Linked DNA regions of Neodiprion lecontei. The protein of the gene in region 1 interacts with the protein of each later gene in a pairwise test. Links are inferred from orthologs where the notes say so. Each region holds a gene or a part of one and is shown on either strand. Other genes may lie near its edges. The genes, in order: RNA helicase aquarius and zinc finger protein 830.

Region 1 (5,026 bases):
ACTGTTACTACTCTCTCTATGTGTGGTCCCTAACCACAGTTATAGGAACAATGGCGATTTTCTCACACTTCAAGTTGGACACCAACAAACCAATGATAGTCGACGTGCCGGACGCCCCCCAGGAAACCATAGGGTGGCTGGCTGTAGCAGTTCTTTTTACGCCCGTTGCATTTAGTGTCATTTTTAATGTATGGTTCGTTGCGACGACCACAAATTTCATGAAACGAATGAACACGTATGGCAGAATTCACCATAAAATGAAGTATAGTTTCAGAATGTTTGTATTTCTATTTATTATTATGGGGGTTGCCTGGTCATTTACCCTACTTTCCTGGATGAGATCAGAGTTGGAATACTGTTCCATTGTCATAAATTTGTTACAAGCCATTCTAATTCTATATGTATGCGTGTTCGGTCAAAGAAGAGTCACCTTCTTGTTGAGAAAAACTTGCAACTGTTGCAGCCCAGGTGACACTGCTCAGGGCCTCGATTGGGGTGAAGAAATGACAGCTATTAATCTGGGATAACTGTGTCGCACATTGCCGAGTCCCTACTGCTGACTAATAATTTCATTGTCAACGAGTTTGTGAAACCTACATTCCACAATTGAATCTATTTTTCCCATGACTTGACAAGTATTTACCATTCAACCATACTAATGCAAATCCAGAGATTTTAACATTTCGTCGGCAACAGCCGATTATCCACATAAATTATCCAATCATTTTGAAGGATGCAAATTTCAGCACCAAGGGTACTACTTTTATAAATCTCAATCAATTCCTACAATTAGCTCGATCGTATAATCAAATCCTTTGACGCAATCGCACCATATCTAAGTACTTAACTAATTATACATTTTGCTGTTTGAGTCGTCGCACGAGACTGATGAAACAAATTATAAAATATATTAGCCCGTCATCTGGTTTTGTAAAAAATTAACTCCAACTTCGAGGAAGCATATCTATTTTTAAGTAAACGGAATTTCTCAATTAGTATTAGGATTAAGCTCATCGATTGAAGAGTAACTCTGTACCTTGCACAGTGCCTTTGTTTTGAAATATTTAATGATAATATTTACAGAACACTAACGCACTTTAAGGCTCTCACTTGTTTAGTGCAGCGATCTCAAATCTTTATACCTAAATCTATTAATTGACATGAATAAAATTTTTTTAATCTGCAAACCGAAGTCAAAGTGTATTTGTACATACGTCTTGTGTCGTGTAGTAGTCGACTAATCCAAGAAGCAAGTATTGATTATTATTTTTAGGGAATACCGTACCAACCAAATCATTTGTGTCTAGAAAGTGCAAAGCATATACCAGGTGTAACATGTGCGAGCATTGTTACAATTAAGTTATTGCCCGTGTTTGTTGCTTTTTCACACACGACATCCTGACGGTAATACAGGAGAAAATTGAATAAGATTACTCACCTGGTTGAAAAGACCTCCCTCTGGGCGTTGCACCAAGTTGGAGAGTTGACACCGTACTACCAAATGACTGTCATCCATGACTGTGTTGAAGAAACGTCTGGTAGGCAGAAGAGCTTCCAAGTCGATAACCAACTCCAAGAACCTTTCGCAATAATGTATCTTGTCGGGAAAAATTGCTCCTGAAATGTGGCAAAAAGGGCACGATGTAAGTATATCAGCTGAAATATAGTAATTAAAAAAGATCTTGCCCATTAAATGACCAAAATAATTTCAATCAAATTGGGTTTATGAGGCAACTTGGTATAAACACGCACAAGGTTTGAGAAACGATATTTCCAGTTAAATTGTTGTAATTATAAATGACAGTAAAAAAAAAAAAATAAACAGAAAAGGATGCCATCAACATCCCAATCGTAAGGAAGAGATTGGATTAAAATCAGTAACGGTAATGTAACAAAACATGGAATAGTAAATCAGCATTTTACATCTTTAAATGGACTTTGAAGAATTAAAGGTTGCAAATCCAAATTTCAAACAATTACCGTATAATCGCAATTACATTCCAGAATTGCAATGTTCCCCAATAAAATTCTGAGATACGATACTGATCTCCTCAACCGTTGAATAAAAACTCTCTCATAGAAAGACTCACCCTCGAGTGGTACAGTTTCCAGGATAGTCATAAATTTGACCATCAATCTCTGTAGGAATCTCCGCTCCCAGTCCAACTTCTGTCTGATCTCTGGCTTATCTTTCTTTTGTATAATTTTCCAATATTTTCTCCACTTGGGAAACTTTCTAAACTCAAACTCACGTCTGCCCTGTTGCAGTGATACCCACATTGACAATGACACCAACCTCTTAACTTCATTTCTCACTAACGCTACTTCCATAGAATTGAAACAATGATTCAAAAAAACAATAAGCGCCGTCTGTTCTTTAAGATCAAAATCCATTGTACTCTCGTTCAAACAAGCTTCCAGAACTTGCTGAAAAAATCCAGGAAAATGTTGAGGATTCTTCGAAAAAGCTTCCCAGACTTGGACTCTCTCTCGAAATTTTTCGTTCAGCATTACAACTATCGACATCATGTGACTGTGTGACGTTTCTCCTGTACTATAATTTGGCCAAAGATAATTTTCCAGGTATTGGCTGAATTCGAGCATCATTATGCGCCTGATTGAAAACTTTGAAGCACATATCTCTTGTATGTATATATCTTCGATGATTACCGGATCAAACTGGAGGTGTGAGTTGGTTGTGTGAGGTGCCCAATATTTGTTGGCCAACTGGAAAATGGAAACGTATACAGGTGAATACTTGATATGTAAGTGCATATTTTGTAACCGCCCAATGAAATCGTATGAATTAATATCTGCATTCAAAACAACCGGTCAACATAACCTCCTCGCCGCTACCGCACAGGCATGTATCATTACATGCGCATGATTTATGTAATGTATAATTCACCTCGGTTACGTTCTCTGTTATGGCGACGAGGTAGAGTATGAAAAACAAGACGAGCATGTGTATAATTCATGAAAATACGATACAATTATGCTACCTGTGTTATTCTGTCGGCATTTATTTGATCGACCGTGGGCGCAGGATTATTAGTTTTAACGAGGAGTGAAACTGCTGGATTTTCCATTTTCAGATATGAAGTATTTCAACGCTGTAAGAGTAGGAAATTAAACTCCTACAAGACAAACTTCGTCCCTGTGATCAACCAACGACCGTGATTGAACGGATGAAATCGTCAGACGTTGACGCCGGTTGTGATTGTGGTTTATTAGACAATTGTTGTCTACGCCATAAACACGGTCTGCCAAGGGAGGTGATGTCACGGAATATCCATGCACCACGAATGGACTCACGGATGCGTTCCGAAATTAGCTAACAGTGCTGTCAACTATAGTTTATCTCTTTTGCACTACCGAGTTCGTGGGTAACTCCGCCTCAGTTCTAGGGGATTGTTGGCGCGCCGTCGGCTAGTTTCGGAACCACATGACATAATGGTGGGTAGAAACATTTCCTCAGTTGAAATACTCAGTTTGTTTTACAAGCCATCAGAAAATATGCAATTTCCGATCAGATGAGCGCGAGCGACCGAATCACGAAATATGGGAACGGAAATAATGCATGAACAGCTGGCTTAAAGGGGCGAAGGAGTAAGTGGCGACAATGAGCATCGAAATCAGGTCAGTTGTTGACTTGTTCTGCAACATAAATGAAAAGACATTTTAAATTCGCTATGCATACTGAGCTGGATAGTAAGTTTATTACTATCATCGCTACACATAAAATGAACCCACGGTAGTGTTAAAAAATATTAAATGATTCCCCTCCTCGACATCTCGCGTCCAATGTCAGTTATATTTCATTATTTATTTTTTTTTCTTCTCTTTCCAGCAGACCGTTATCACACAAGTTGTAGAGATGATAGTCGCCGCTGCGTGAGTGACCTTCAACGCGAGTGTGAGCAGCACACTTTAAGATAGATTCACGGCATATGTAGAGATGCTAAGAAATTGCAGTATCAATAGCAATCTCGGTTTTGCCGTCGATTGAAAAACGTGGTAATGGTATCAATGATTTTTTTTCCTGTCACTTCTACAGCGCTCGATGATGAAACTACAACTGGACGGTCGTACATTATACGATTTAATTTCACCTGACACATTTATCAACTGTTGTGTTGTTGTTGTTAACACAGTTTCTACGAAAGACCATGTAGTCTTCCGAAAAATGTGCGAGAAAGATCATTATCGGTTAGTTGGAAGTAAATTGGCGCAGGGCGTAGAAATTATATCACTGGAATATACATATATAACGTAACGATTCCAATGCAAATATGCATGACGTTTCTATACTAAATGGTTACAGCAGGAACAATCGCATCGCTACCAGGATTGCACATGGTGATTATACTTGCCACGATTTTATGATAAGTGGTGGGAAATTTTGTTAGTATCAATTTATATGTTACTTAAGTTACATACGCTACTGTCGCTGTCGCAATACTTACCTATACACGTTACACGATTGTAGCGGACAATAACAAACTCGAGGCTTATGTGACAAATTTGTTTTTCTGCGTGGCGCGTTTTATATGAGTATAGGGAAAGACTATTGTATAGGTACACAATGAACATCCATGCGAGGCTCAATTATTGAATACTAGCTACGACTGCGACTGACGCAGCCGATTTTACACGAGGCCCGCATAAACGGGTTCAATAAGTGAGCCTGTGAATGCAGCGAGTATAAGGAGTATTCGCTTGTAATACATTAGCTTTGTCGGAATTGGAAAGATAACCAATAAGAATTGTGAAAATTGACCTCAATGCGGTATTCGGAAAACGTGATCGACTGGTGTCACCCTCATTTTATACCAGTAACCGACAAGGCTTGACATTTATCGAAAGCCACGTACAATCCTGCAATGCTGATCGTTGGATACAATTCGGACCTACATCGATGCGATGAGCACTATATTGGTAATCTGGCCAAGTATACACAGGGTCGTTTGCCACCGCCAAGTTTTTCTCGCATTGTCGAGCATCAGCAGGTATAAGTCAGTATATA
Region 2 (4,630 bases), on another chromosome or scaffold:
TAAATATCGCTCGATGATCAAAGAGCACAGGAAATAATCGCAGGGTTAAAATTAAATCGCAAGTGGGCCAATGGCGGCCATCTTGATTTGGCGATAGCGCGGCCGAGTTCAGCTCTGAAATGTTGATCGACACTTTTGCTATTATTTATTCATCAGATTTTATAAGCTTTTCAACCGATTTATATCCATGCTTTTTTAATACCGTTATCGAGTCGAATCGGGCCAATTACTTGTCAAATTTTTTCTCCCCACAACTCTTCCACCCTGTAATTAGACGGCGATGTGAAGAGGACCCAGACACGACGGACTGCGCCTCTTTACTTTTTGTCGTCAATTTACCGCCGTAGCAGCAAAAGCAGCAGAAGCAGCAGCTATGCAGGGCACTACAGATATTGGGTTGGTACGCTAACGCCCGAGGCGACGAAGCACTCGACGAATCGTCTATAAGGAGCAATAATGTCGAAAGACGCCATACGTAGCGAGTTCAAATCGCTTCGATCGCCGAGTCAGCAGATGCACAGATACCTCGAATTTCAGTCTAAAACCTCCCTAGACTCGCAGATCTCGAAAGAGGCCGAGGAAACTTTACCGCAAGCTAGTTCTGTACATCGTAGATGTATGTGGTAACTATGTACACATCTTGTCAACAAGGACCCGACCACCTACTACCTTTACATACGCAGCGTTGCTACCTTTGCGTACATGTTGTAAATTTTCCTTATACAACGTATTTCCCTCCAGCTACCTGCGCATTTCGAAAGTTGTTTAATTAATTAAGTAAATTTTGTGCACGGAAGGAACTTCATTATAGCCATAATCTTTTCATCAATATATTATATTGATCTTTTCAAAGATTTCGGGTGAGCTAAATTCTCACCAGAGACGATAAGCTCCAAATCGTTGTTCGAAACACGTAAATGCAATATCTTCGCCTCGAAAAGATGTTCTGTTTTCGCATGTGCGTTTGTACAGTGTTGCCATTGAAAATTTTAAATTTTACGTTTCACAATGGAGGCGATATTTTGCAACGTAGGCATAAATACTCGGTGTACAAATACAGCCGTTCGTAAAATTTTGATAAGAATGGGGCAAAGAATGGAAAACTTTTTAAGCCTATATATCATCGGTTGCGCGGAAAAGTTATCGCTGGAGGGTGCGAGGTGCGAGCGAGTTGTGTGTATACGCATGTATAGGTATGTATACACGGCTGAAGTTCGTTTGACCGATAATCGATACTGTTGCGTTTATACAGCATGTTTCACGTTTTCATTTAATATACGAGTAACGCAGCTTCGTACGACGTATTGATCATACCCAAGAAACCCACGAACTTAACTAATATGTCCCACGCGTGATTTAAGGGTACACAGAACGTGTGCTATTCTCCGTTTCTCCCTCTGGCATTGTCTCTCTCTCTCTCTCTCTCTCTCGCTCTCTTTTTCTCTCTTTGTCATAAATCTAACAAGTTATACAACAACTCCGGAATATCACCGTCATCTGGAATACCCCGTAGTGCGGCGAGAATTAGCTGGTTAAAAAAATTTCACAATTTAATCGTAATTGCGCGATATCGTGTTTTGACATATTTCGACTCCGAATACCCGCTGTGGTGAATTTTTAACTAAAATATATGGCACCATCGAACGCGATGCGTGGCTGATTTAATGCAACCTGCATGTATACTCTCATTTAATATACCAGAAGGTATTAAAAAAAAAATTATAGCCACGACGTACAACAGACGAGAAGCGAGGAGAGAAAGACAATCTTCTCCACTGCAAATTTTTTTTGTCGTAGTAATTTACTCCCGTGATTATTCTCTTTATTTTTACTTGTTTTTACCAGCGCTTTTTGAATAAACTTTAAAGTAGGTTCGCCTGGTTACATGCAGCCTATTCCACCGCCATGGAAGATTACGCATGGTGGCGCTACCTGGCGAGGATTTATGCATCGTTGATTTCTCTGTAGTTAAAATGACGGTCGGTAAGTATGTAGATCCCGTGAGGGTAGAACAGACTGACTAAATCTATCGTAACCTGACAACCTGCTTGACATAATCTCTCACAACCCCGAAAACAACACACAACGTACACATCCTAACCTAATTTTGTTTTAAATCGTAAACTTGGTGATATTTGACAAGATACAAAAACCAGAATCAATTATGTCTCTGAGAAACGTTGGGAAGAAAGTGACGCAGACAGACTTGCGTCGAGTTATGAATGAGCACAAAAAGAAGCTGACCACAGTGACGAGAATCGAATCACCAATCGCAAAATATCCTTTTATGTAAAATAGAATAAACATCATACTTTACGATTTTTGCATCCCCCTCTCATCGCTATAACTTGACACGTATATTTCCTTATGAATGTAAGCACGTACACAGATTCGGGTCAGCTGATATGCATACTCTGCAAGACACTGGTGCGCAGTGAAGCGGTATGGAATATCCACCTGAACTCCAAGATTCACAAAGAAAACATCATCCTCGCAAAAAAGGAACATGTCGAGCCTCCCAAACCTGCTCCGATCGCTCCACACAGTTTTAAACGGCCTACCTCTACTGCGAATGTGGAAGTACCGAGTAAAAAGTTGAAGAGTATTTTGAAAAATGGCCCTGCAGTGTCGTCTGCACTGCCTGATGACTTCTTTGACAAAACCTCCGCACCTAAACCTCCTCGTAATGTTCACGAGGCCAAAACTGAAGTGACAAAGGAATCGGCGGAAAGTGAGGATGTCGAGATGGAAGAGAAGGAGGAGGAGAAGGATCTCAGTCAGGCTCAGCTCCCAGAAGGCTTTTTCGACGATCCTATCATGGACGCTAAGGTGATGTAGACTTGGGTGAAAAGGAGCTGGTGATTGACTAGAAAAACTTTAAATAGTTGAGGCAACGTCACGAAAACTAAATTCTAACGAGCCGATAGATTCTTGGATATACTGTTCAGTGAAAAAGAAATGGTCGACGGTTCAGCCCAAGCGAGAGCTCTCCTCAGAACGGATTATTCAATGTGAATCATCTTTAATGATCTCGGGCCAAAACATCAACCCTATGGATTTTACTTACCCATACATCCAAGAATCTATCATTTCACCAACATTGAGGTCAAGATAGTATTTCCACTAAATTCTACTTCTCAGCTAGTTTCTCACTGTCTTGAATACATTTTCGACAATAACCGTTGCTTGTTTTGATTGTATATTCATATTTAAGGTTTCTTGGTTTCTGCAGGTAAGAAACGTCGAGTACAAAGACCCGATTGAAGAAGAGTGGGAAAAGTTTCAAAAAGAGATTAAAGAGGAGGCTGCACAGTCGGCTCAGATCATAGCGGATGATCAGGAGGAAGCGACGACCGAGAGGCAATTAGACGAAATAGAGGAACAGATGCGACACTGGTCTAGGTGACGAAATCTCAAATAATCTTCAATCACTTTTGTCACCAAACTTTATACGCAATTATTACAGGTTTCTTTCAATTTTCTTACCTTGATCGAATCTGTTGTTTTCTCAGGGTCCTAGAGTTAGAGCGACGCAGGGAAGAAGTGCTGGAGCAGGTCGAGAGAAAGAGCGTAGCTGTAGAGGAGGAAGTTTCCAGCGGAGACGAGGCTGAGTTTGACGAGTTCCTCGATTGGCGAGCTAAAAAATCGTACAAATAATGAATAAATTTGTCACGATATCGCGGAGTGTACATTATTTTTTTCATCTGTAAATACTCTCGTAATTGTCTGTCGTACTCGCAAGGGTATACGAAATTCACGTTGCTTTAGTGTGACAAACAATTCCCCAGTTGTATAGAAATTAAGTCTGAATAATCTGATATGAAAGAAATAAATTTTCATAGAACAGTTTGGAGAAATCGAACTGAGCAATTCTTTACTCAATATAAACTCACTTTTATTGTTATTTTATTCTTTATAAACTTGTCGACCATACCTTGTTTAAAAGCAAGGAGCTCAGCTTCGCGATGCGTTCGTTTAAACACAAAGACCGGCGATCGGCTCGACAAAATGGAGACTGCCCGGAGAAAAATCTTCGATAATTGCGACTAACGCGACGTCATTCGCTTCCGAGACATTTCACGAGTAACACGCACTTCGACGATTCGAAATCCAGAGCCCTCTGATCAGGCTGTGAAAAGAGGCAGGTTCAGTGTGTTCGGTCCAGAATTTGCACGTTCGTTTTAGTACACAAACCATGGACGCTTGACCTTCACGAAGACAGGAATTATTGAAATTAGAAAAGCCTGCGAACATTGAAAGTGAGTTGTTTGTCTCGTTTTCATTGCTGCGGTAAATTTTAGCGTTTACAAGTTCTATTTGGTTTATCGATTCACGTTGGAAGAAACCGGTGATACGACGGATTGTTGAATCGCGCTTCACAATTGTTTATCCGCTCGCGGATCGCGGAACGGTCTGAACATAGCTGCAACAAATTTGTACTTCGCGTCGTTCGCTTTTTTTTTTTCTCTCGGCGTCATTTCTAACGGCTAGTTGTAAGAAGAAGTTTATCGGGACGTTTAGCTGAAAGACGAGGTGTCGAACGAGCATCGAAGAATTCTCATTCGGAAATTGCTGTACTTGGGATCCAGAAATGTGCGATGCAGCGTATAACTCATCGTAAATAAGCCTC

What was found.
Region 2: the proteins of RNA helicase aquarius (region 1) and zinc finger protein 830 interact in a two-hybrid assay, tested with the Homo sapiens proteins (2 studies listed by BioGRID and IntAct, with this or other methods). The link is inferred for Neodiprion lecontei from reciprocal best matches to the Homo sapiens genes AQR and ZNF830.

The regions. Positions count from the first base shown.
Region 1 is NC_060266.1:126,577-131,602, reverse strand, and holds the start of RNA helicase aquarius, read right to left. Parts: upstream 3,239-5,026; 5' UTR 3,090-3,238; coding exon 3,003-3,089; intron 2,728-3,002; coding exon 2,091-2,727; intron 1,618-2,090; coding exon 1,439-1,617; intron 1,188-1,438; exon of another isoform or gene 528-1,187; coding exon of another isoform or gene 1-527. Other genes in the region: probable G-protein coupled receptor Mth-like 5, read left to right, coding at 1-527.
Region 2 is NC_060260.1:1,884,055-1,888,684, forward strand, and holds zinc finger protein 830, read left to right. Parts: upstream 1-1,983; 5' UTR 1,984-2,164; coding exon 2,165-2,277; intron 2,278-2,381; coding exon 2,382-2,829; intron 2,830-3,232; coding exon 3,233-3,402; intron 3,403-3,512; coding exon 3,513-3,657; 3' UTR 3,658-3,857; downstream 3,858-4,630.